Oryzias latipes: one gene and its partners. The protein of the gene in region 2 purifies or fractionates together with the protein of the main gene of each other region. This does not show direct contact. Links are inferred from orthologs where the notes say so. Each region holds a gene or a part of one and is shown on either strand. Other genes may lie near its edges.

The links.
Region 1: the proteins of pabpc4 (region 2) and g3bp1 purify together in Homo sapiens (affinity purification with mass spectrometry; 4 studies listed by BioGRID and IntAct, with this or other methods). This does not show direct contact. The link is inferred for Oryzias latipes from reciprocal best matches to the Homo sapiens genes PABPC4 and G3BP1.
Region 3: the proteins of pabpc4 (region 2) and paip1 purify together in Homo sapiens (co-immunoprecipitation; 3 studies listed by BioGRID and IntAct, with this or other methods). This does not show direct contact. The link is inferred for Oryzias latipes from reciprocal best matches to the Homo sapiens genes PABPC4 and PAIP1.

The regions. Positions count from the first base shown.
Region 1 is NC_019868.2:28,989,980-28,995,761, reverse strand, and holds the end of g3bp1 (ras GTPase-activating protein-binding protein 1), read right to left. Parts: intron 4,303-5,782; 5' UTR 4,281-4,302; coding exon 4,186-4,280; intron 4,099-4,185; coding exon 4,017-4,098; intron 3,927-4,016; coding exon 3,753-3,926; intron 3,679-3,752; coding exon 3,588-3,678; intron 3,505-3,587; coding exon 3,423-3,504; intron 3,339-3,422; coding exon 3,110-3,338; intron 3,036-3,109; coding exon 2,931-3,035; intron 2,861-2,930; coding exon 2,746-2,860; intron 2,569-2,745; coding exon 2,443-2,568; intron 2,374-2,442; coding exon 2,264-2,373; intron 2,183-2,263; coding exon 1,949-2,182; 3' UTR 1,329-1,948; downstream 1-1,328. UniProt on the Homo sapiens protein: Protein involved in various processes, such as stress granule formation and innate immunity. Plays an essential role in stress granule formation.
Region 2 is NC_019880.2:16,807,507-16,814,209, forward strand, and holds the start of pabpc4 (polyadenylate-binding protein 4), read right to left. Parts: upstream 4,352-6,703; 5' UTR 3,999-4,351; coding exon 3,806-3,998; intron 1,289-3,805; coding exon 1,095-1,288; intron 1-1,094.
Region 3 is NC_019867.2:5,797,646-5,803,954, forward strand, and holds the end of paip1 (polyadenylate-binding protein-interacting protein 1), read right to left. Parts: intron 6,205-6,309; coding exon 6,053-6,204; intron 5,941-6,052; coding exon 5,743-5,940; intron 5,606-5,742; coding exon 5,493-5,605; intron 5,211-5,492; coding exon 5,099-5,210; intron 4,667-5,098; coding exon 4,541-4,666; intron 4,463-4,540; coding exon 4,356-4,462; intron 4,008-4,355; coding exon 3,890-4,007; intron 3,785-3,889; coding exon 3,730-3,784; intron 2,896-3,729; coding exon 2,817-2,895; intron 2,243-2,816; coding exon 2,149-2,242; 3' UTR 1,329-2,148; downstream 1-1,328. UniProt on the Homo sapiens protein: Acts as a coactivator in the regulation of translation initiation of poly(A)-containing mRNAs. Its stimulatory activity on translation is mediated via its action on PABPC1. Competes with PAIP2 for binding to PABPC1.

The DNA.
Region 1 (5,782 bases), on a different chromosome or scaffold from region 2:
TGTCTTTGGAGGTTGTTCTGGGCTCTTTGGATACAGTTCCAACTATCCGTCTCCTCAATTTGTCATCAATGTTCCTCTTCCTCTTCGTCTAGGGAGGTTGGCTACTGTCCCGTGGGTCTTAAACTTCTGAATATGTGCCACTGTAGTCACAGGAACTTCAAGCTGCTTAGAGATGGTTTTATAGCCTTTACCTTTACCATGTTTGTCTATAATTGTGTTTCTAACGTCCTGGAACAATTCTCTCCTTGGCGTTCCGTTGTCCATATTACACACCTGTCCACGACACAGCAACGTGACTATGTCTCTCTATAACCCTTGTGTTATCCTAGGCACTTTAACATTGGGAGTTGGGTCATCTAGACCCACTAGACAGTGCTCTGAACCTTTTTTCTTCAATGATTTGTGATCTTCACTGGTGTCCATGGATTACATGAAATCTTTCCACCTTTATCCACCTTTGTCATGGTAGGGAGAACATGTCAATGGGAGGGGGGGTCATCTAAGATAGCACAAGGGCTAGTGGGAGACAGTCACGTTGCTGTGTGGTGAAAAGGTGTGTAACATGGACAACAGAAAGCCATGGAGAGAATTGTTCTTTAATGGTTTCTTAGATGTTTGTGGTTGTGAACCCACCCTCCCTCATGACTCCGCCCTCATTCCATGAATATTTTAAAGTTCCAGCTCTGATCGTCTGATCCAGATTCCAGCTCAGACCAGGAAAACAAAGATGTTCATGGATCTGTTTGACTGGTGGATGATCAGAAAGGGGTGGAGCTGGGATAGTGTAGCCCCACCCAGAGTATTTTCTACATCAAATATCTTTTTGAATCTGCGTTTTTTTTCTGCTGCTCTTCAGTATTTGAAGATTTTTGGAAATGCAATATTAATCCTTCGTCTAAATTCAAGCTGATTTCAGACCATTTTTTAATCCGGAAAGCGATTTGTCCGTAGAGATCAGGTCTTTATTTGCCGGAAAGTACGTTCGGTTTGCTCAAAAACCCGGATTTCCGGGAATTCCCGGAAGACTTTCATCACTGATTTTTTTGTCTGATTAAAATTTTCTTAGAGCAATCCCATCATTTCAGAACTCTTTCCAGATGTCCCCGCCCCATTCTTTGTTTTGTCAGTGGATCTTTTTTGGCCACAAAGTTCCTTTTTGTGGGTGTAAATGTTGGTGATGGGGTCAAATTCAGGCTCAACGGTGCCGTAAGAAAGATTCATCTGGACCTTCAGACCAGAATAAAAGCCCTACTGACGGTCCAGAACCCCAGGGTGCCCCCACCCCCACCCCGCGGAACCCCAGTCCCCCAAACAGGAAGCAGTCGGTGTGAAAACAGTAAATGGTTTAATTTAGTTCTCTCGTCGGCATGAGCTTAAACATGATGACAAATGAAGTGCATTGGTAAAAAAAAGGCGAACAGGTTTGATCCATTCAGACACGTTTGTGTAGATTACAACATCGACATCAAAGAAAACTACAGTTCAGCTCGTGACCTGATAAAAACGATGGGCGGGGCCATCGCTCGAAACAACGGTGGCAGCAATACACAGGATTGCCCAAAGCAGTAAAAGTACACGTTCCTTTAAGAAACAGGGAGAGAACTCGGAAAATAAAATAAGCCTCTGGGTCTCTACATCCCCAATTCAAGTAATATTTACGCCTTTTTGTTGGTTTTTCATTTGTGAGATTCAAGTTCAACGCCAAAAGTAAAGTCAAACTGAAGAGAAAAGAACCGGTTCCTGAACGCACCGCCGTCTGAGTGCAGGAACCAATAGGATGGGAGGGGGTGGGGTCACTGCAGACCCCCCAAACAACTCCTGCAGCCTTTGAACACTCCTTCCAGAAATGTCACGGGGGGCCGGGGGGGGTTCAGCGGGAGCCAGAGTGAGTGGATGGTTAAAAATGCGGCTGCAGCTTCTGTTAGGTCTGCAGCCGGAAAACTGAAGCTCACTGACGGGGAGCCGAGAAGCGGCTCTCGCTGGGGCCCGCCCCCCGCCCAGAGCCAAAGCTGGGCTTCTGGGACATTCCCCCACGAGTGGGCGGTCCTCTGGGTCCGCCCCCAACTCGCTCTCTGGGACCGCCTGGGCCCCGGGGCCTGGAGTCCCGCCGGTCGCCCTCCCTGGCGGAGCGAGTCTTCTTTTCCTCCACGTTCAGGCGGATGTCTCCTCGGAACTTGATGGGCTGAAAGAACAGAACTTCTCAGAACCGGTTCTTCTGGTTTGGATACAACCCGACCGCCGGGCCGGATGGACTCGGACTCACCTTGTTGTTGAGGATCTTCTGAACCGGTTCAGAGTCATCAAACACCACGAAGCCAAAATTGGGTAGCTTCCCTCCGCTGTTGATCCTCAGCTCCAGAACCGCCCCGTACTCTGCAGGAGCAGAATCCGTCAGTCAAACGGGGTTTCAGCTTTCACGTGGAAGAGGCTCCGCCTACTCACGCTCAAAGAACTCCTTCAGTTCGTTTTTGTCCACGTCATGGGGAACGTTTCCAACGAAGAGCTGGTGCGCGTCAGGATAGCGGACGATCCTGCGACCCTCCGGCTCGCCCTGTTCGCCTTCTCGAGCTGAAACAGAGAAACCACCAAATCTAAAACGCCATCGGTTTTAGAGTGCCGTCTCTGACAAACAGGAACTTTTGAAGAACTCAGATCAACGAGAACCTGAATAACTCCAAACAGACACTTCTGATCCAGATCACTCTGGGTTTAATCGTGAGCCAATCAGAACGCCTGGTCGTGTACCTGGTCGCGGCCCCCTGTGTGTGGGGGGAGGGCCCCCGGGCCTCTGCTCTCGCGGCCTCTGCTCCCTCTGTGGTCTCTGCGTCGTCTGAGACTCTGGCTTCACTTCTGTTCTCACCTACAAACAGAGGTCTGAATCTAGTTTTCATTTTCTACGTCAGGACTTTGCTGGAGTACCTCAGACTTACCGGAGCCGCGGGGGCCACTTTGACAACATGTGGGCTGATTCCGGACACGGCGATGGCGCCGCTGGGAGGGAGGTTCTTACTGGTAACAGACGCCCAGGAGAACGGCTGTGGGCGAGCAGAGAAAGGCGTTAGAGTGGCGGTCTGGTCGCGTTCCGTCTGTTCAGCTTTCTTAGACGTACTCTGTTTTCTTCCGGGGCGCTCGGAGCGGGCTCGGCCGGCGCCGAAACCGGTTCTGTGGTGGGCGCTGCGGGGGTGGACGGCCTCTTCTCCGTCTGCTCGTCGTCAGAGTGCGTTTCTGTCCGGCTGTCGTGGGCCGTCTCCGCCTCAGGAGCCTCCAGGTCCTTCTCCACCTCCGGCTCTGGACTGGCCCCCACCTCCTCATCGTCACCGGGGGCGGTGGGCTCAGAACTGCCAAGAGGAAAGGGAAACGCTCACTTTGAAAACCCGACTTAGAGTTCCACTTCAGGTGGAAACCCCGAAGCTTCGACGCACCAGGCCGTGGGGTCGTAGAAAGGGGCGGGCTCCTCTGTGGTATCGGGGGAGGGGGCCCTCTCCAGATCCTCATCTTCTGACTCTGTAAGGACAGTGGTGTGAAACGTTCAGACTTCCTGACTGAAATTAGAAATCCTCAGATCTACATAAGAGAAGCCGTCTGACCTTCAGGAACCTCGGAGTCCGAGTCGGCAAACACCTCGTCCTGGTACCTGAACACGTCGTTGTGGACGTAGAACTTGTTGGGGACCGTGCCCTGTGGGAGCACAGAGGGAGTGAATGCTGGGGAACGGACACACATGCTGCCGCGAGTTTTGCCGTGGCACCGACCTCCGGTGCCAGTACGAAGGTCTGCATGAACTTCCTCATGGGCTGCAGGTTGTTGGAGAGCTCCCCCATCACCTGCACCACCACCCCTTCGTTCAGGGTGGCGTGCGCATCCACGTGCCGTATTTTGGTGTGACAGTCCCGGAAACTCAGCGCCATCACCCTCTTGTGGATCTCCTGCAGGAGTTGGAGCAAAATGCGACATTTATGAGCCATTTTAGGAAAGCGAATGAAAGACAGACGGGATCTATGCCTCAACGGTCTTACCGACTGTCCATAAACCGGCTCCAGCGGTTTGCCATTGCCGTCCACACCGCCATGCACGTACGACGAGTTCTTCCCGTAAAACCTGAAGGCGGAGGGAAAGCGCCAGACGGTCAGGACACCCGAACACATCTACAAGCCTTGGTGGTCAAACCGCGGGCGGGGGCGTCACCTGTGCAGGTAGTCAGGGGCCTGGTTCAGGAGCGTGTAATACTGTCGGACAAACTCTCGCCCGACCAGCTGGGCACTTGGCTTCTCCATCACCATTTCTTTGGTCAGCTGGAATTCTCTGCAGAGAAAGAACAGAAGGGAGCGTCTGAGCTGCGGTGGTTATCCAGGCGGGGGGGAGCCCCACAGCCCTCCCCAGCGACCAATGAACCTCTAAAAAGAATCTCATGGTTCACAGCTGATGTCTGCCACGCCCACAAGAACCAACGGCAGCATGGGGGCAACAAGCGTTGGGTGGACAAAGCGAGCGTGAAATGGAAAGTTAAACAACTGCTGCAAAATGACTCATCTTTAGCTAATGTTTCTGTTGCTCTGGCGACAACTTACAAAACCCTAATCAACCAAATGTGGGGAAACTTCTGAAAAAAGGTGCAACACGAGCTTCCCACTCAAATGTAGTAGAGAATTTCAAACAAACCTTTATTAGCAAAGGTAGCAGAACAAAAGAATTTCATCGCTGACGTTCATCCAGAGTGATCAATGTCACACCAACCGAAACCTGTGACTGAGTGAGCGACGGTTCTGAAGTCACTTCGGATCCAGGAAACGGCTCCAGGTCCACAACACGAGGGGGAAACCCCCCCCCAGATGTTTCAGATTGTGTATTTGGACGCCATGGCAACCGTTGAATAGAAAATAAGAAAAATGTTTAAGTATTGCAGATGAGGCATTTATTCTTGTTTACGCGAGCATTAGCCATGATTTCCCAGGAAGGGGACGAGTGCAGTAACAATGCCCCCCCCCCCCCCCCCCCCCGTCTGATGTGGAATGAGGTTAGAGACCATCCTCCAGCATCATGCAACCAGCAGCCGCAGTCTGAATCAGCAAATTTCAACACCAAAGAGAGAAATCCTCCTCTGTAGAAAAAGCCTATAAATGTAATACATGTGTACCAGATAGCAGAAATGTGTCGTTATTTTCTCACTAAAAGAAAAGTGTCACCAGAATTTCTACATGTTATGGAGGATGGACCAGGATCTTTCAAATGGGATCCCAAAACCACAAACCAAAGAAGCCTGCTTTCATGGGTGGGGGCGTGGCCTTCCAACAAGCTCACTCCTGATTGGAGTCAGACTGCAGGCCTTAAGGGCCGTTATCCAGCAGGTTTTTCAGAAATCAGGTGTGTTTAGCCAATAAGGAGCTTCAATTTCAAGTTGATGGGAAGACATGTGGGACACAGGCCAACGAGGCCTGGAGTCTGACACTTAGAGTGGTTGCCATAGAAACACCGATCAATTCAGATCAACTCTACGTCTGCCTCCAACATGGCGCCGTCCGTTTCACAAAAAGACAACAAGAAGGCGACTGGAATTCCTTCAATGGGTTTGAGCCAGAAGTGAACCTTCCTGCCTCTCCATAATCAGAGGACGATCAGTTTGCATTTACACTGAAGTGAACCACACCAGAGTTCATCTGCAAGTGGATTAGATCATCTTGCCCTGATGAAACCGGATTCTCTAATTGAACAGTTCTTTGGGTTTAATACATCCCCACTTGAACCTGGAAGCGCTTTCACGATTCTACAGGGTTTGACCCCCCCG
Region 2 (6,703 bases):
ACACAAGTCTTTGCGAGCAGATGGCTGTTTTCATTCTATAACACTGGACTTATTTTTCTATGAAGGTTTGAACTTTTAATCTTAAACAAGAGAGAAAAGTGTGAAAATGTTAATGTCTCTCTGAGAAGTGTTCATAGTGTCTAGTGAGAAGTTTCACAGACTTAAAACATCTACGATTATTGTATAAAATAAAACTAACTACTTTGTGAATATCGTTGTTTGTGGATTATTTTTTAATGTCACGGTCATGATAAACGAGGGATGATGACAACAAGAAAAAGACGCTTTATAAACCACCCAGACAAATGTATAGGGATGTCTGCTGTGCAGCCTGGAAGGTGTCTCACACACACAATTTAGTTTTTGATCCAAAGAGGATATCTTTACCAGACATCAGTAAATGTTAAGACAAAAACATTTGTGGGGATGTTTTGTTTGCTTGTTGTCATACTATCATTTTGTTTACTCAACTGAGTAGACCGTTGGATTTGTAGTTTGTAACCCATAACTGAGGCTTAGATCCATGAGTACTGAAATTACTGTTCTGTGGATAAGACCGCTTCATTTTACTTTAGACCAGAAGTTAGCACAGATAACATTATAGTTGTGCGTAAAACGGACTAGAAATAATTGCCCGTCTTTTGTGCTGTTATCACATTTTCCCCAACGCCCATCGTGTAATGAAACAGATTGGTAAATTACAGACTGCCAGCTCAAAGTGGGTTAGGCTGCCAAATTAGCAATCAGGAAAGCCTTGGCTGAAATGCTGAAAGGGTTTAATCCAAACACTTGTGTTTGAAAGAAATAGGTTGGAAAGGAGCTAAAAGGATAAATATTAATCTGTTCACAATGAATTGATTATATTATTAAAATACTGCAGATGTTATAGCATTAGTATTTAAGACAGCCTTTAAAAACATTAGGGCACCATTTATATTACAGTACAAACCTCTACAAGATTTCTTTAAAAAATATAGTGGAGTGGTCAATATGAAGGTTTCATGTTTCTTGGGCTCTTAATGGGTTACAGACCATAACACATTGCAGCCAGGTTTTAAAATAATGTTATAGTAGGGGCAAAAAGTATTCTTTACCTTACAGGATAGGATATTGCCAAAAGCAGAGAAAGTGTCGTACAGGGCTTTGTTGTCGATGGACTTATCAAGGTTCTTGATAAATACATTGCCCACACCAGACTTCCTGAGGGAGGGGTCTCTTTGAGACCACATAATTCTGATTGGTTTCCCTTTCACCACGTCAAAGTTCATGGTGTCCAAGGCTCTCTCAGCTGTAGGCAGAAAGAAAGAAGACACGTTCATGTTTATATGGATCCAAAATTGTGAAAAAAATTCACAGGTACCAAGCTTATTTGGGTTGTTTGAGGATGATTAGAACACTTTGTCTCAAACCAGCTTGTACTCTTGTAGACATAAATACAAAAGCAGACAAGAAACAGGGTTAAGACGCTGCAGAAGACCATGTGGCTGCTGAGCTGTCTGCCAGCAACTCAGACGAGTCAGGGGCAGCTGCAAAGATCATAGCACATGTTTCTGACAAACCCCATGCTGCTGTGCCCCCTTAACTACCAATGCCACAGGCAAACATCCATTTCAACAGGTTTTAAAGAGTTTTTATTTATTTATTTTAGATTTGATGATCATTTTACAGTCTCTGCGTTTTTCTGCACTGTTAAGACACAAAATTATGAAATCTATACCTTTGTTTTACTATTGGTTAAACAGCCATGTCATTTTGGGTCCACGTGCCAAACATCCTTTTGTTCAGTCCCTCCACAGCGAGCCACACACACACACACACACTCACAGGCTAGGCTTTCCAGCTAAAAGTGTCTGGTAAACAAAACGGAGCTCCCTTGCGTCTGCTGGCATCAGCAGTTTGGCTTGCAGTTGTACTTCACCACCCGTGTGCTCAGAAAATTTGTGTAATTGTTGTTCAACACATGAACCTCTGAAAGGTTCAAAATGAAAATCTTGCTGTTTAAAAAAAAAAAAACACATTCAGAAATATCCAAGGGTGAAAATGTTAATGGTGTTGAATAACTAGTTATTGTTGCCATTTGTGTTTGTAGTATCACAGAGCAGGCATATTTTGGCCTGCTCAGAGTGAGGTTCTATATTTAGAAAAGGGTCCTGAGAGGTATGTGCTGGAGTATGGGTACACCATTCTTTGCTATTGATGGGGAAGACTTCCAACATGAGGATAAAACATAATATTTCAACAAAACAATGAAAAAGCTCAAAATATTCCTTCTCTACACTTTGAACTTTGCCCCACATTTACACCCTTCTACCGTGTCCACATCAACAGCAAAACAGTGGGGCATTTCACACCTGTCAGTTATGGTGTTGTAATCCATTACTTGGTATTTGGTCAACCGCCTTCATCAGAGACAGCTGCTCTCACAGGTGTTTTTGTTGATAAAACAGGAGAAACATTCACAGTGTGTAGACAGTATAACTAGGACCTTAGAAAGACCAATGCAACACACGCTACCGCTGCTAAGAGCGCCCCTATTTATTCCAAAGGCAACAAAGCAACAAAAACAAAAGCAATTTGCTTTGCACCAACTGTTGCATATGTTAAAGCTGTTTAGGTAACAATAGATACAAATAAGTTGTCTGTCCACCCACAAGGTCACTGTATAGTTATGTTGTCCACCTTTTGACATACCCCTTTCACCGAGTCGCACAGGTGGTTTGGCGGAGAATTTTATGCCGAATGCCCTTTTTCACACAACCGTGTATTATATCCAGGCTGAAGACTGGCACAGGGGGAACCAAACTTGGACCCTGTTGTGGCTACATGGTAGTGCGAAAGGTCTTTCCCAAGAACCCACAGTGGATGAAGCACGTGAGAAACAAACCCTAACCTCCCATGCGCTGGTCCTATACACAACCAACTGAGCTATCCAGCCATTTAGTTAAAACAGCAAAAAAAATAGGAGTACAAATCAACTCAGATCAATGTAAATAGGAATTCTTGATGGTTTTAGCATTCCTAGCAATGGATGACATCTAACTAGATAAAAAAGGAAAGTCAAAATATTTACTACTGAAAAATGTTTAAAAAAATAAATGTGTGAACTAGTTAAACAAGTTTTGGACAAGTCATCTAGTAGTAGACAAAAAAGCCAAACTATTTACCAAAAAGAGAAGAAAAAACTGTGGTGTTACGCATTAAGTAATAATACAACTTTGATTACATACTAGTTATTGGGTAAGACATATCAGTCAACCGCTAGTTTATTGGTACTACAGAACTAGTAGTCATTTTTTCTTGTACTAGTTGACTACTGTGGCCTAGTAGTAACCTTTGTGTGTCCCTAGTTGACTATGAATGCCCAAACTGATGCAATTAGCTTGAAGGTGTTCATTTTTAACATAATTATATCACTTGTTATTTTGACTCATGGGATCAGCAGCAGAGATTTTAAAAACAGCGTGTTCTCAACAATGATTTACTGCAGTAATGGCTTTCCATATAATTGATCAATAATTACAAACACAGACTTTAAAGCACATAATGGTTTCAAATGCATGAATTCCTTTAAAATACCAATAAAATGTAGTGAACTGAACTGCAGAGACTTTGCATCGCCATAGCATAGGTGGTGTGTGAAGAACTGGGAAGTGGATATAATAGGTATAATGAATGACTGTCTCAAATAAAGAAGACAGAATTCAATGGAAGCGCAAAGCTTTATAAAATTCATTTTCATTAGTCATGATGATCCCCACGTGGGTGAGCTCATCCCCCCCCCCCCCACCCCCCAGGGGTTCCTTACCGTCAGCGGGCTGGGAGAAGTTGACATAGGCGTATCCGAGGGACCGCCGGGTGATCATGTCTCTGCATACCCGAATGGAGAGCACCGGTCCGGCGGGGCTGAATTTCTCATACAGCATAGCCTCCGTGATGTCAGGGTGCAGGTCACCAACGTAGAGAGAAGCCATCGGATAACTCCCGGTCGCTGTGTTCATTTCCCAAACTTCCAAAAAGAAAAGAAAATCTGCCAAAGCCGAAAAAAACTGCAATCCGGTTTGAATGCGGGTCAAGACGCGCTCGGTGCGGACAGATCTCTGAGTGAGAAACCCAAAAAATGTACCAAAAAAAATCCTCCTTCGGTTAAACCCCGAGGCCTCTTGTTTATATTTTTAATTAATATTTTGCTATTTTTTTAAAAGTTTAAATTTCAATATTATTGTACTCGTTTTTATAATGTTTTATAGCTTTTATTGTTTTTATATTGTTTTTATTTTAAGTTTTTTTTTTCCCGATAACAGTGAGTTAAACACTCACGGTTGATTTGTGGCCGGGGAAAGAGAGTGTGTCGGGGAAGCGTGGGCACTTTATAGAGGGTAGCGGCGTGGACGAAACAGTGACCAGGGTCAAATTTAGGAGAGGGGGCGGAGGGGGGCGGGGGGCGAGCACGCGGCGTGTAAAAGAGAGAGCGCACTGTCCTGCCCCAACCACAGAGCTGCCCTCCCCACAGCGACACCTGCATGATAACTGAGGGGCAGGACACAGCTCCAAAGGAGAAAAAGCACTGGAAAAACTCAACAAAAAAGGGAAATAAGGTCTGTTTTTGGAATGTCAATCCTTTTGGGAAAAAATCTGGGAAAAGGGAATAAAAGCTCTTAAAGTATGGGTCCACATTCCACACATATGGTACATATATTTGAAAAATTAACCCTGTAGTAATCCTGTAATGTATTTAATGATGTCATGCAATTTGTTATTTTGTGCAATTAATTAACCCGCTATTAACTAATTAATCTATTTTTAATCACAATTATTCGTATCCTTTTAATTGCTGTGAAAAGCCTCATTATTGAGTATTTTCATTTAAATTTCTGAGATTGTATCGCATTAATAGATCAAAATACAACAAAAAAAGTGACTTTATAAAGTTTTGAAGCAGATTTCCAACCTTTACTTTTACACAAAGGGAATTTTCTTCTTGAAAAATAAAGAAAACAAAAACAAATGATTATGTCCAGAAGACTCTATTTAACACATCAAAAACAAGAACACTTTTCTGAGCAATCCAGAAAATATTGAACACAAACTTTTCATTGATACCATATTTGACGTACATTATTCCACAGTTTATACACTAGTAAGATGGTAAAAAAGACACAAGTGATTATATATTCTGTTTGGTGAATTGGATCATTTTGAAGACTGGAATCCAGTAGAAGAGAAATAGAGAACAGAACACTAGGAGGAAATGAAACACTGAGGTAACACCGGACGAACTGAACTATTTTGATTTTGGACTTTGTTTCTTTGAAACAAACTTTTGCTTTATCATCTGGTTAAAAACAAGCGCCAAGTGGTGAACTTTCCCTCCAAAATTATGCTTTGTTTAACTTCTCACAATGATCACTTTCCTCAGAGAGGAAAAAATATAACGGGACAAGTTCTACAAAAATTTTTTTTTCATAAATGACCTTGGTATAGGATAATGCTCTTTGAGTTGTGCATGTCATACATGAACAAACTTCACGGAAGCACTGACGCGAAAATGAGATTAAAAAATGTGCTCAAATGTTTCATTAAATGAACACAACTAACATGATAATTTACCTGCCCAACTGTGTCCTGTTCATGGACTTCAGCTCTGCGTTCAACACTATCCTCCCCTCTCTGCTTCAGGAAAAGCTCCAGCATAACGTGCCTGACTCCACCTGCAGGTGGATCACTGACTTCCTAATGGACTGGAGGCAGTGAGTGCGGCTGTGAAAGAATGTCTCCACCACCCAAACTATCTGCACAGGGCTGTGTACTTTCTCCTCTGCTTTTCTCTCTGTATACCAACTGCTGCACCTCCATCTTCTCTGTTAAACTGATGAAGTTTGCAGATGACACCACCCTCATCGGGCTCATCTCTAACGATGATGAGTCTGCCTACAGGAGGGAGGTGGACCGGCTGGTGCCGTGGTGCAGCATCAACAACCTGGAGCTCAACACCCAGAAGACAGTGGAGATGATCGTGGACTTCAGGAAAGTCACAACCTCCTCACCCCCTCTCACCCTGACAGACTCTCCTGTCACCATATAGTGGACTCTGTTCGTTTCCTCGGCACCACCATCACTCAGGACCTTAAGTGGGAGCCGTCCATCAACTCCCTGCTCAAAAAGGCCCAGCAGAGGATGTACTTCCTGCAGCAGTTAAATTCGGGGTGCCGACCCAGATGATGGTGCAGTTCTACACGGCCATCATAGAATCCATCCTCACCACCTCCATCACTGTGTGGTACACTGAAGCCACAACCAGGGAGATGGACTGCAGGGTATTGTGTGCTCAGCTGAGAAGGTGATTGGCTGCAGTCTTCCATCTCTCCAGGACCTATACGTCTCCAGAACCCGGGGGCGTGCAGGTCGGATAGCAGCCGATCCTTTTCACCCTGAACAGGAATTACTTTAACCACTCCCTTTGGGCAGGAGGCTAACCTCACCAGAACCTCACGAACAGTTTCCTACTCAAAACTTTAATTCCTCCCCCCTTAAACTTAAGTCCAGTTACCAGTCCATTACCTGCAACTTCTTCATCCTGCTTTTGCACTACTGTGCTTGTATTTACTACCAGTGTGTTATTTTTTATTCTTAAGTGTTTGGCACATTACTGCAACAAATTCCTAGTCTGAAACTTCTTTGTTCACTCAAATAGGCCTACCCATTC
Region 3 (6,309 bases), on a different chromosome or scaffold from region 2:
GTGTGTGAACAGGCCCCGCCCTTTTTGTACTACATTTGAACCGTACCGTAACGATAAACAACCAGTAAACCTGTCTGCTCTATGCTGCTTCATGGTCTTACCCCCCTTCCCCTCCTATTATCACCCTCTTACCCCCCCCTCTCTCTAACGTCCCTCTCTCTTCTTCCCCTCTTTCCTTTTCCGTCCGGTCCAACACCAAAGATTTTCAAACATGATTGAAATTAATAAAGTTTGGCCTCAATTACAAAAGGGGTTTATTCAGACATACCTTTGGTTTGTCTGAAGATGAATAACCCCTCTTGTTAAAATAAAATATGTCCAACACAAGAGGCCCTCAGCTCTCATCTGTTTGCCTAGCTGTTGGACAGGACAAGTTAAAAAAAAAAAAATACTGCATCTAGTGTGTGGTGGAAAAATGTGTTCAAGTGCCACACAGAGCCAAAATTTGGCACAGGAAAAAATGTAAATTGTAAGATTGTTAAAGATTTGCACTTTGCTGTTATGTAATGTAAAATAAGAAAATATAAGATTATTTATTCCCCTTTTGTGCTTCTTAGTAACCAAATAAAAAGGAAATTACAGATTTTCTTTTGTCTCTTCTTGTACCATCATCTTGGTTTTCTGTCCTGCCTCTGGCAGAAAATTCATCAGAAACAGTAGACATTCAGATGTTGATCACCACCTTGTGGCAGGACAGAGATAAATGTTTTCCATCCTTGTACAAGACTATCGTTCTGTTTAGTCAGTCTACATGCAGCTGTCTAGCAAACAATTTCATCCAAAGCGACTCCGAACCCTCAACCAACCGATGGGTGGATGTTTGCTCAACCCAGAAGCTGCAGCCGCTCTGCATCCACATCGTCTGAGCAGCTTCCATCTTTTTTGAATCATCGGTAAAAAGTCTTAGGATTAGATTCTATTAAAAATGAAGGGATTAGAGACAAAAAACTACTGACACACAAGCAGCCAGACTGAATTGATGCATTTCAGAATCAAACTTTCCCATTTTCTTGTCTTTTTTCTCTCTCACACGAGCCGTTTTCTATATTCCATTTTCTCTGATGTCTATTTATCTTCTTTTACTGCTACGGTAAACAAATTTCCCACATATGTGATCAATAATGTATTTCTGATTCTGATCGATTTACTATTAAAAGCTTTGATGAATACTTGGGCCAAAAATAGAGTGAGCGCACTGAGGAGGATGAACTATATTAACTATACTTTATTTTTTTATCACAACAAACATTTCTTGATTTTAACCAAAAGTACTTTATTTGGATTTTTTTTATTAAAGCCCACACACAGAAAAAAAAAAACAAGAAAGATATCACATTAAGAATTTATTGCAGGCAAATGATGCTATAAATAATATGTACAAACTATAAAACAACATTTGCTGATTTCAGATCCTTTGTTTGCCGGTGAACAGTCTGAGTCTTGGAGAAGAACGATGAAAGCGCTGCGGAGTCCTAAACCTCGCCTTCAAGTTGGAAGGAGTTAGTTTATTGGAGATGTTGAAGAAGAAAGAAATACTGCTTTTAAAAATATTAACTTTTCAGTTTGGAACTGGTCATTAATTGTAGAAATCAATTAAAATGTTTTACCTAAAGAAGAGATAACAAAAAAAAAGAATTGAAAAGTTTTAACTTTCTACTTCAGAATAAAAATTCAAATATTTGACAAAACATCTCCAACTGCACAACTTTTAGCAGAAATATTTAGCTTTTTGTTCTTGTTGTAAAGGCTAGTGTAATGAATATGGGGAGAACAAAATCTATGAAAATAGCTTTAGAAATATGGTTTGAGCCTGAGTAATGACATGTTTAACTCAACTAGAAAGCCTTTCAGAGGAATAACTGAAATCCACTGCACATCATGTCCTCCATGCTTTCTGATTAGGCCTAATAGTTAGAAACGAAACTCAAAGCAACAAAGAGAAAACTGTCAGGATGGAACAAGAGGAAGCCGTCCAACTGATTGTCCCACTTTCTAATGAACTCTAACTGAAGAAAGTGACAGAAGTGCAACTATAAACATTTCTTTAAGAGTTGTTTCCGGTAAAATAAGAGCCCGTCTGATGCAATGCTTGCTTTTCGACATGCCGAGAAGATGAGTGGGGGGGTTCCAGCCAGCAGCCGGACAGTCTCACAAGCGTTGCTGTCGTTTCCGCTCCGATTCTAAACAGAAACTCTCAAAAGCTTCTTCCATCTCTGGGCCCATCTCATCTTCAAAGTCATCTCTGTGGACACAAAAACCAGGAGATCGTTGCAAACTCTGATGTTTTCCTTCACTGCTTTTGGAATAACACTCTTTAAATGAGTGGGTTGGGATTGCAGACTGAAAGCCTGCAACCCCAAGTTAAGCCCTCATACACAGCCAACTGCTGACTAATCTGAATGTGAGCCCTGTTGCATTGTGGGGTGGCAACACATTTGCCAAGTCCAAAGGCTCACAGGTCGAGCGAGGGCTGTCATGTGACTGTCTGACTTTCACCACGCCATAAAACGGGCATGGTCGAGACTGACGGGAGGAAATCTCAGGTCACGGCCTCCAACAAACCTTCATTAAAAGCCTGAAATTTTCAAATGATGAATTTACTCGGGTCAAACGAATAAATAGGTTTGCTTTAAAAATGAAATATTGATCAATTCTGAGCTCACATTTGTCTCTGTTTGCCAACAAAACCTGAGACGATGGTTTTAATTCAGAAAGGAAAGTAGGATGAACCTGCATGTATTCATCTAAAGTGGGTCTCTGCAAACAGAATAGTGCAGATTTCATTTCCTTTTTTTCCATTTAAAGCTTGGACTTACCCTTCGTTTCCATTCTCCCCATCAAAGTCGTGAAAATAGTCTTGCCTCTCGAGGAGCTCCTGGTATTTTTCTGCATATTCTATGAAGGCAGAGAAAGAGTCAGCAGCAAACTTTACATGCAACCCCAAAACTAAACAGAAACAAACTACAAAAATATGAGAAGGGCCAGGCCAAAGGCATCTTGGGTAAAAAAAAAAAAGAAACATGGCTTTTGTTTTTCTCGCCTACATTTGTAATGTTCAACCTCAAAAGCTAAAAATGTCTCAAGACAATGACGATTAAACCCAAAACAAATACTCCGTTACCCATAATTCCTATCAAAATCTACCTATACCGAGCAGCTGAAATCCAAAATCCCTCCTGATGTTTGGTAAGGGCACATCAGTACCCGACACTTGCACAGACACAGACATTCATGATTTAAAGACACCCTGCAGCTCGATGGCAGAAAGTTTGGTGACAGAGCTTCATCATTCTGACACCCCCAAAAGAAAAAGGTCAGATATAAAAGTCCAGGTCACTACAGGCTTTGAGTAAAAGCTTTTCTTGTTTAATCTTCAATATCTTGGTTTCATAGTGAAATTTGGCAGCCCAAAAAAATGTAACTGATCCAAATAAGAACTGAACCAAACTTTCACTCCATAATAAAATATACGCAGAAACATTAATTTCTTATTTCCCAACCCGTGGATGATAAACTTTGCTAACTGTTGAAAAAAACAGGAACATATAAAGTACAACCACCACCAGTTTAAATCTAACATTATTTATGGTCATCTGTCCATTAAAAACAAAATGGATCACACAACTACATTTAGTTAAAAATCTATGAATCTAGTTTCTTCTGCGTTGAAATGTCAGGTTTCCATTTTGTGTCTCCTGTCTCAGTGGGGACATGTCCACCTGGACTCACCTGGATCTGCGGCTGTGAAAGGCGTCCCATCCTCTGTGTAGAATGTGGGTTCATTCTGAGCAGAAAAACAAAAGGCCGTGTTATAACAGACGTTCACATTCATGAACACAAAGTCAAAAACCAAACTAAGGTGAGTAGGTAGGGTGGGTGAGACACGGACCATGAAATAGTTGGGGTCGTTGTCTGGCGTGGCGTTACTGGCTGCAGCAGCAGCGTGGACACGCCCCCAGTTACTGGATCTAAGCTCTACAAGCTTCAGGAGCATCTCTCTCACATTCCTGAGGAGAAAGAAACTCTTCAAACCGAGAATCCTTTCAACGTGTCATTAAATCAACAGATTCTTTATGAAGCCATTTAAAGTACAAAACAAAACTCTAGTACTTTTTTTCCTGTTAAACCTTTATTTATCCAGGTGGGTTGATTGAGAACAATGTCTAATTTACAACAACGACATGTTCTTTGGAAAAATACGGAACTACGTAAGGAGTTAAAATAATGCTTCAATTTAAATAGACTTTCTGTGACACTTAGATAAAGAACACTGTTTCAACGTAATATAGGGATACACTTATCTAAACGTTTTAATAAAAAAAAAAATACAAAAAAAAGCCTCCTGCTCTACAGACCTGTCACATTTAGCATCAAGAAGAATTGTTTCTATTCTTTGGATCAGTTCTTCCATGTGCGGTTTTCCACTTTCCTTCCAGGCATCATCCAAGACAGAACCGGTCAGCTGTAAATAAAAACACTGATGTTTACTTCATGATGATAAAAATACCTTCACAAAATGCACAAACACAAATGTTAAGACCTTGAGCAGTTTGACAGCACAGATGAGATTTGAATTCACAGGATTGGAGAACAGACTGTGCAGCAGGTCATTGAGGCCAGAGAGCAGGATTTCAGCTCTTCTAGGAGGTCCTTTTGGATTTTTTATCTAGACAAAAAATAAAAAAAACAGAACCTAAATGACAGTAAAAAGGGAACGATTTCACTTTAAAAGGAGTGTTCAAGTGTTTGCAAATCACATAAGGGCAGGATTAGAGAGAAAAAAAGTTGACTAATTGTAGAAAAAAACAATCTTCAGTTAGTAAATGTGATATAGATTCATCAAATCTCCAATTCAATTTTCTTCTATTATTTGTTGTATTTCTATCAAGCAAAACAAAGAAAAACAAAAAGTATTTCTTGTTTATTTGTTATAGAAATGGTTTTGATATGTAAATCTGTTTATTTATAAACAAACAACTGGTTTAAACATGATAAAAGTTTGATCAAATTTGTTGCGTCATAAGTTGTATAGGATTGTTAACCAGTGAATCCACACTGAATCATTTTCTTCCAGAATGCACCGAGTTAACCTCCTTACCTCTAGATTTAAGTAGAGTTCACCCAGAAAAAGCACAAAGGAGTGAAATTTCTTCTGAGTGTCCGGGTCCCCTCGGACAGCTGCATCTCTTTGTTCATATTCTGTCCTGCACCTAAATCAAAACAGTTTGGATTCAATTATATTCTTAGTGAAAAGAGAAAGAGAAAGAAAATTCCCGTGACCCCGAATGGGAACAAAACGGGTTTAGACGATGACTGAATGAATGACAGAAAATCTATTTTAATGGAATCATGATGTCATCGATTTTAAGTTAAGCCTTATAGTTTAGCATTTTCGTTAAAAATTCTAAAATAAAATAAAATTCTCAATTGTATCTGTTGTAGAGGTTGTTTTTAAACTGCTCTTTGAGACGTATGTGACACACACATCTTACCGTTTTAGGAGCAGCTGACGAAAGTTGCCGCTCTGTGGGCTGATCGCCAGGTGATGGGACAAGTAGTTACAGAGCCTGGCTCCAGTATAGGAGAAGTTTGGAATGGCAGTAGACTGAAATAAACAAAATACGCTCAGACAAGACTGCATTGTCCTCGTGATAATGACGTGTGTGAGGTTCGTTTAAAAATTGGAGAGATGGGGAAAAAAAACAAAAAAACAAGACAGATCGAGGCCAGAATGTTTCCCACCTGTGTGTAAACCAGCTCCACCAGATCCTGCAGCAGCTCCTCAGTGGTAACACAGGAGTTGAACACTCCAGTTATGTACTCGATATCTGAGTCAAAGGATCCTGGAGAAGAGCTCAGGTGAGCGAGGAACTCTGTGACCATTTCAGCCAGTGGTGGCTCGCCGTAATAGTCCTCACTGTCGTTAGACAAACTGGGGTCCTACACCAAATTCACAAAAAAAAGGTCAGTTCCTGGCTCTTCCCAACTACAGAAATAATGACCAGCATCAATGTGAGATAAAGTAATCGTATCTGTTTCAATCTAGCCGTACCTCATGAGGGTTCAGTCCAAAGGGGACAAATTCTGGAGCACTAGCAGACAGGTTTGATGACTGGACCAAGAAATTGACATCATAATACTCTCTGGTATTCGCCAAGTTGTTGGCAGTCACATTTTGTTGGGTTTTGCTTTGGTTTTGAGAGTCTAAAAGAATATAGAAATGGAACTTACTCCTTTGCACAAACTAGACATGTCTTCATGCAAAAACACAAGAGAACATTACACAAGATAACATTGGTTACATTATTC